2 linked regions of the Macaca mulatta genome follow. The protein of the gene in region 2 interacts with the protein of the main gene of each other region in a biochemical or structural test. Links are inferred from orthologs where the notes say so. Each region holds a gene or a part of one and is shown on either strand. Other genes may lie near its edges.

The links.
Region 1: the proteins of PCNA (region 2) and POLH form a complex in vitro, tested with the Homo sapiens proteins (7 studies listed by BioGRID). The link is inferred for Macaca mulatta from reciprocal best matches to the Homo sapiens genes PCNA and POLH.

What each region holds. Positions count from the first base shown.
Region 1 is NC_133409.1:138,541,957-138,545,701, forward strand, and holds the start of POLH (DNA polymerase eta), read right to left. Parts: upstream 2,214-3,745; 5' UTR 1,958-2,213; intron 1-1,957. Other genes in the region: XPO5 (exportin-5), read left to right, coding at 2,547-2,651. UniProt on the Homo sapiens protein: DNA polymerase specifically involved in the DNA repair by translesion synthesis (TLS). Due to low processivity on both damaged and normal DNA, cooperates with the heterotetrameric (REV3L, REV7, POLD2 and POLD3) POLZ complex for complete bypass of DNA lesions.
Region 2 is NC_133415.1:78,833,789-78,837,533, reverse strand, and holds the start of PCNA (proliferating cell nuclear antigen), read right to left. Parts: upstream 2,708-3,745; 5' UTR 2,516-2,707; coding exon 2,295-2,515; intron 1,583-2,294; coding exon 1,485-1,582; intron 1,394-1,484; coding exon 1,326-1,393; intron 52-1,325; coding exon 1-51. UniProt on the Homo sapiens protein: Auxiliary protein of DNA polymerase delta and epsilon, is involved in the control of eukaryotic DNA replication by increasing the polymerase's processibility during elongation of the leading strand.

The sequences.
Region 1 (3,745 bases), on a different chromosome or scaffold from region 2:
CAGGTGGGAGTGCAATGGCACAGTCTCGGCTCACTGCAACCTCTGTCTCCCGGGTTCAAGTGATTCTCATGCCTCAGTTTCCCAAGAAGCTGAGACTACAGGCGCATGCCACCACGCCCGGTTAATTTTTGTATTTTGAGTAGAGACCGGGTTTCACAATGTTGGCCAGGCTGGTCTCGAACTCCTGACCTCAGAAGATCCACCCACCTCGGCCTCCCAAAGTGCCGGGATTACAGGCATGAGCCACTGCGCTCAGCCTGGCATGGGGATTTTTGTTTTGTTTTTTTTTTTTTCCTAGACATAGTCTCGGTCTGTCACCCAGGCTGGAGTGCAGTGGCGAGATCTCAGCTCACTGCAACCTCCACCTCCCAGATTCAAGCGATTCCTCTGCCTCAGCCTCCCCAGTAGCGGGGACTACATGCGCGTGCCACCACGCCCGGCTAATTTTTTGTATTTTTAGTAGAGACAGGGTTTCACCGTGTTAAGTGAAATGGTCTCGATCAGGATGGTCTCTATCTCCTGACCTAGTGATCCGCCCGACTCTGCCCCCCAAAGTGCTGGGATTACAGGCGTGAGCCACCGCGACCGGACGGAGATTTTTAAAAGCTCTCCAGGTAATTCCAATATGCAGCAGTTTGGGAGCCAAGACCTACATAAGACAATCGAAACACCAGCAATCCATGATTTAAATACGAGAAACACAGGTTATACAGTTGAGTGAGCACCCAACTGTATTCTAAAAAAAGTATTTCAAAAACTAACAACTACCTTGAAAAAAAACGTCTTACAACTGCAAAGCAGGAGGGTGAGTGGAAAGAAAAATAATTAAAATCACAGTAGTCAAAGCATTAATTCCTTATAAATTCCAATCGACCACTCGCCTAAAACAGGCAGAATGTGATACTTTAAACATTTACCAGTTAAAACCATAACATGCCAGAAATCCCTTTACTTTGAAGGGGCTTTTCTGTAGTACTGGAACAGATTGAGCCAACGAATAGTATTGTCACAAAAAAAACACGGGCTAAGCACCATATTAGGTCCAAATACCAGAAGTGGAGCAGGAATAGGAAGCGGTGATTTAAGTTCAGCAAACCATTTACTAAGCACACAATCACAAAAACAGACATGCAGACTTTAACAGATAATAAAGCTTTTGAGGTTTTCCGTTTATGTATTTACTCGAGAAAGCAAGAGCTTTATTTATTTATTTTTGAGACGGAGTTTCGCTCTGTCGCCCGGGCTGGAGTGCAATGGCTCCATCTCGTCTCACTGAAACCTCCGCCTCCCGGGTTGAAGCGATTCTCCCATCTCAACCTCCCGAGTAGCTGGGGTTACAGGCGCGCGACGCCACGCCTGTATAAAAATACTAAAAATGCAAAAATAATTTTTGTATTTTTAATAGAGATGGCGTTTCATCATGTTGGCGAAACTCCAGGCTGGTCTCGAACTCCTGACCTGGGTGATCTGCCCGCCTCGGCCTCCCAAAGTGCTGGGATTACAGGCGTTAGCCACCGCGACCGGCCAAGAGCTTTATAAAGATGGAAAACGAAGCAGACTTTCTGCCCAAGCCATGCTTTTGGATAAGGATTACACTACTTTGAAATCTTACGTATAGCACTTGGCCAACTATCAAACTGCACAAACCTTCACTAATTGCAATTATTCCCTTTAACATCTCGAGTTACCCCAATCCGCACAAAACAAGTTTAGTGCCCACCAGGTAATAATACATTCAGGAAAATAATTCCAAGACAGAGGTTTAAGAACTACAGAGAAAAACATACTTTTTTCTACAAGAAAAATCTTAGAGGACAGTACCAGGGCCTTATCTCTGTTAGCATGATTTATATTTCACGTAACGTTGGCCCAGTCACTGCTACATTATAAAACCAATAGCCAAGGCAACATAGAAAGTCTGAACACATTGACAGCGAACGGTTCTAAATTTTCTTACCAAGGTAACAAACACCTGGCAAAACTGCCAGCAGCGGGTGCCGCAAATGCTGGGCTCGGGGTCCACTGGAAGGAAAACGGAAGGGCTCTTGAATATCTTTTCGCCTTTCTGGGAGCAGGCCAGTGAGTTTCGAGAGAGATTTATTCGCTGTGACGACGGAGAAACCGAGAAGGGGTCGTAAAGCAGCTTGCCCGGGCAACCGCCCCCAGCAGCAAAAAGCCGAGAGCGTCACGCCCAGCTACGAAGCTGCCAGACTGAGGTCAGACAGCGCGCGCGCTATGAAGGGCCGTTGACGCGGCTGCGCACCGCGGCCCTTCCGCTTCCCGACCCGCCCATCCAGGCTCAACCTTCACCCGGGAGCCGCCACTTCCGCGGGCGCGTGCGCAGTGGCGGGCCGGGCGCGTGCGCAGCGCCGGCATCTTCCCAGCGCGAGCTGGTGCTCACGCTCCTCCTCCAGTTTCCCACCCCCGCTTGCCAGCAGCGGCCCGGTACCAACGGGTGGTCTCGCCGAGGGAGCTGTCGTGCCTCGTGGTCCCGGGACTGCAGTGGTGTGCGCTCTCGGCGCGTGGCGCTAGGCGTGGCGCTAGGCATGGCGATGGATCAAGTAAACGCGCTGTGCGAGCAGCTGGTGAAAGCGGTGACGGTCATGATGGACCCCAACTCCACCCAGCGGTACCGGCTGGAAGCCCTCAAGGTAGCTGGGATCCTGGCGTCCTGGGGCGATCCCGACACTCTCTCCCAGCCCCAGCAGCTCCGGTGCCGCCTGTAACTGGGGTAGTCTCCCGCCCACGCGGCCCCTGGACCTCCTTTTCCAACTCTTCGGGACCTTCCCTTCGCGGCCCTCCGCGCCTCTCCCAAACCCCCGCCTTCTCTACTCGCCGTTCCTGTCCTTTGCCTGGGACACTACGGTCCCTAGCTGCTTCTCATCTCGCCGCTGCTTCCCACAGCCTCTCCTCCCCCTGTCCTCTCTTTGCACTCTTGTTCGCAACACGACCCTCGCCCATTTTCGTTCCCCAAACCCGACATCCCCTCGCCTTCCCGAGGCGCACGTGTAGATCCCGCCCCCAACACTAGCTTCATTCTTTATGGTCTCCCTTGCACTAAACGTTTTCTTGCTGGCTCACTCCTCTGACCCGAACTGACCGAGCTCCAGCCCCTCTAGTACCCTTATGTTTATATCCTTTAACATCTCTCGCTAACTTTCGTTTGTGTCTTGGACATTTTCTGAGGAAATTCTCGCACCCCTACTTCTCCCATGTTTTTGAATGTGATATTTTTAGGCTATTTTGCGCAAAGATAATTTCTACCACTTACTTTGCATTTTAACAAGGGCACTTTGGTTTCCTGAAAGTAGTTTGCTTGAGACCCGAATGCTCTGCTCTTGGGACTGACGTATGTTGCAGTTTGAGGGTCCTAATACAATTCAAGCTTACTTACCCACAAAACAACGTGTGTGGGCTGTGAGAAATGGCCATTTAGGAGAAAATACTTGTGCTGTACATTTTTAAAGTGATGTTAACTTCAAAAAAGAGAGTGACCACCACTTGGAGGAAATGTTACAATACGTGTATGTATGCCACAGGGTTTGGAGTCAGAAACAGTTGGCTTCTATTAGTTTGGTTTTTATTATTTATATATATATATATATATATATATATTTTTTTTTTTTTTTTTTTTTGAGACGGAGTCTCGCTCTGTCGCCCGGGCTGGAGTGCAGTGGCCGGATCTCAGCTCACTGCAAGCTCCGCCTCCCGGGTTTACGCCATTCTCCTGCCTCAGCCTCCCGAA
Region 2 (3,745 bases):
ACGTGCAAATTCACCAGAAGGCATCTTTACTACACAGCTGTACTCTTGTTCCTATTAAGAACAAAAATTTTCCAAAAGTTACTTGTTAGAAATTTAATGATTTGGCACCCTCACTTTCTTAAAAGGCAACATCTAAACAACTCAGAATCAAGATTTTCTGATTACTGACTCGTGTAATTTCTTAACAAACTCCACTCAAAAAAAATAAATGGCTATTAAATGCACTGCCCAGGGAACAAGCGCCTCCTCCTCCTCATCCTCCAGGGATAAAGTAAGAGAACATTAGAGTATGCCACAGAAATGATGACGGCGCAAGCAGGTCTAACTATTTTCTAAAAGAAAACGAGAGAATATGATATTAGGCATTTTCAACATTCCAACATTTCTTCTCTCCTTTGGTGTTTATAAACCTAACCTGGATACATTTCTTCTAAGATAGCTTTCAAACCCACTTAACAAAAATCAAGCATCGGGCCGGGCGCGGTGGCTCAAGCCTGTAATCCCAGCACTTTGGAAGGCCGAGACAGGCGGATCACAAGGTCAGGAGATCGAGACCATCCTGGCTAACCTGGTGAAACCCCGTCTCTACTAAAAAATACAAAAAAAAAAAAAAAAAAAAAAAAAAAAAAACTAGCCGGGCGAGGTGGTGGGCGCCTGTAGTCCCAGCTACTCGGGAAGCTGAGGCAGGAGAATGGCGTAAATCTGGGTGGCAGAGCTTGCAGTGAGCTGAGATCCGGCCACAGCACTCCAGCCTGGGCGACAGAGCGAGACTCCGCCTCAAAAACAAAACAAAACAAAACAAAACCAACCATCCTAGAAGGAAGCAAATTTTAAAAGAGGTTCATGGAAATTAATGCAAATAGACAACTGGCAGTAAACAATAAATTTAACCAGTGAGTTTTAGACTTGTGGTAAACAACTATCCAAATACTAAAATCTCTTTAAAACATGCACCAGTAGATATGTTTCTAGAAAAAGTTCTGTTATGAAGTAGGCTTAAATTATATTAACTTATCTTGACGGAGGAGGATCATTGAGGCCAGGAGTTCCAGACCAGCCTGGGCAAGACTGCCCCCACACCCACACACAAAAATAAAAAAATTAGCCAGGCGTGGTGGGACAGATCTGTAGTCCTTCCTAGCCACTTAGGAGACTAAGTGGATTGCTTGAGCCCAGGAGTCCCAGGTTACAGTGAGCTATATGGCACCACTGCACTCCAGCCTGGGGAAAAGAGGAAGACCCTGTCTGTAAAAATAAACAACATTCTATGATATAACTATCATGCCTGTGTACAGCAGTCGCTACAATCAGAAACTGATACTCACTGGAATTCCAAGTTGTTCAACATCCAAATCCATCAACTTCATTTCATAGTCTGAAACTTTCTCCTGGTCTACCAAAAAAAAGCAAATGCTGTTGAGAAACACTGGCACAGAGTTTTGATCTTCTGTAGCTTCATAACTCAGTAAAAAGGTACGACTTACTGGGTGCTTCAAATACTAGCGCCAAGGTATCCGCATTATCTTCAGCCCTTAGTGTAATGATATCTTCATTGCCGGCGCATTTTAGTATTTTGGACATACTAGAAGACAGGAGACACATGGTTTAAAATCAACACCATCTACTGAAGGTCTGTATTTCTAATGCAGTTAGAAGGGGTTACCACTCTCACCCATAGGCCGTCTCAGAACTGGTGGAGGGTAATTGCACTGCTGGAGGATGCGAATATTAATGCAGACATTTTGGGATGCATCTGGCAGTATTTATACTAAAATACCACCAGCAGTTTCCCTTCTGGATAGAAACAATCTCCTGCCACTAAGTAGGATGACAGGCTGACACTTTTCTCGCAAGGGCACATTATAAAGCATTTAAAGTCAATCGCGACTGAGCCGGGAGGATCGCCTGAGCCCAGAAGTTGGAGACCAGCCCGGGCCAACACATCGAGACCGTCTCGGAAACAAAAAAGCCACAACTAAAGCGTCCATTCAAGGCCAACAGGATTTAGTGAGCAAAAGCTCTGGAGCAGTGTTCCTGGCACTGCAGAAAAACCAGTCATTTTCCCGCCACCACCCGCTTTGTGACTTTGGCGCGAAAAAGCAGGTTCGCGCAGCAGCCAGCGCGGGCTTTTCCGAACCGCGCGCTCAGCTGGGCCCCACCCCCCTGCATGGCAGGCCAATGAGAAGGTGCGGATGGTCCACGCCAGCCAATGAGGGCTCGGCTCGGAAGCGATCCCGCCAAACCCCGGAGGTGGGGGTGGGCCGGGGCCGGCTTCTCGACGCCGCGAGGCTCACCTGGTGAGGTTCACGCCCATAGCCAGGTTGCGGTCGCAGCGGTAGGTGTCGAAGCCCTCAGACCGCAGGGTGAGCTGCACCAAGGAGACGTGGGACGAGTCCATGCTCTGCAGATTTACGCCGCTGGAGCTAATATCCCAGCAGGCCTCGTTGATGAGGTCCTTGAGGGCCTCCAACACCTTCTTCAGGATGGAGCCCTGGACCAGGCGCGCCTCGAACATGGTGGCGGAGTGGCAGCAACGCGGCTACAGGCAGGCGGGAAGGAGGAAAGTCTAGCCGGTTTCCGCTTCAGGAGCCTCAGAGCGAGCGGGCGAACGTCGTGACGAGAAGCTGAGACCTAGAAACAGAACTACCAGTCTGCTACGCCTGCAACCGTTTAATGCCGCCGCGTCCGCCAGCGCGCGCTCTTACCCTGCGCCGCGTTGCGACGTCACCACGCTGCCCGGCCCACGGCCTGGGCGGGTTAGAATTTAGGGCCAATCGTGCCGATGCTCCCCGCGAGGCCCGCCCCCTAGGACATACATTGGAGGAAGCGGGTGCAGGGCGGGGCAGCGTCCCGCAGGTCTCCCCGCCTCTTCGCCTGACTCCTGAACCTGACCACTGAACAAGTCCGGGCATATGTGGGGATCCGGCCCAGGCCCCGGTTCGTCAAGCCCCAGCTTTATGGTGCCTCCTCAGCCTCCAGCTCCGTGGGTAGAAAGTTTCCAGCCACGAAAGTGAAAGTGAAAAGCAAATCCAGCCTACCGGGAGGAAAAGCCTCCTTGTAGCCTGAAGAGTACAGCTGCTGCAAATATGCACTTTATTTTTCAATTACAAAAGTGATGCGCTCCTAAGTGTCACACCATAAAGAGTTATGTTAAACTTAGCTCCCTCTCACCTCTTAACATTCCACTGCCAGCTCTTATAATCACTCAATCGTTCCTTGTATAAAGCTTTTAAAGCTTTTTTGAAAGTTCGAATACACTTTTTTTTTTCAAAATGCACTCATTCCGTAAACACTTCGAAAAAGTACTTAATAAAGTACATTTAATTTTATGCCACGTACATCTTTTTTATATCAGTACCTCTTTAAAAGATAGCATCACATGTATGTAACTTATCAATCTCCTGTTAATTACAAACACCTTTGAGCACTTAGGCAATTTTGGTGCTATCAACTCCTTGAAGTAATACAGCTGAGTCAAAGAGCGTACACATTTAATTTTTTTTCTTTTCTTTCTTTCTTTTTTTTTGAGATGGAGTCCTGCTCTGTCATTCAGGCTGGAGTGCAGTGGCGCGATCTCGGCTCACTGCAACCTCCGCCTCCCAGGTTCAAATGATTCTCCTGCCTCAGCCTCCCGAGTAGCTGGGATTACAGGCGCCTACCACCGCGCCCGACTAATTTTTTTTTTTTTTTTTTTTAGTAGAGACGGGGTTTCACCATGTTGGCCAGGCTGGTCTCGAACTCCCGA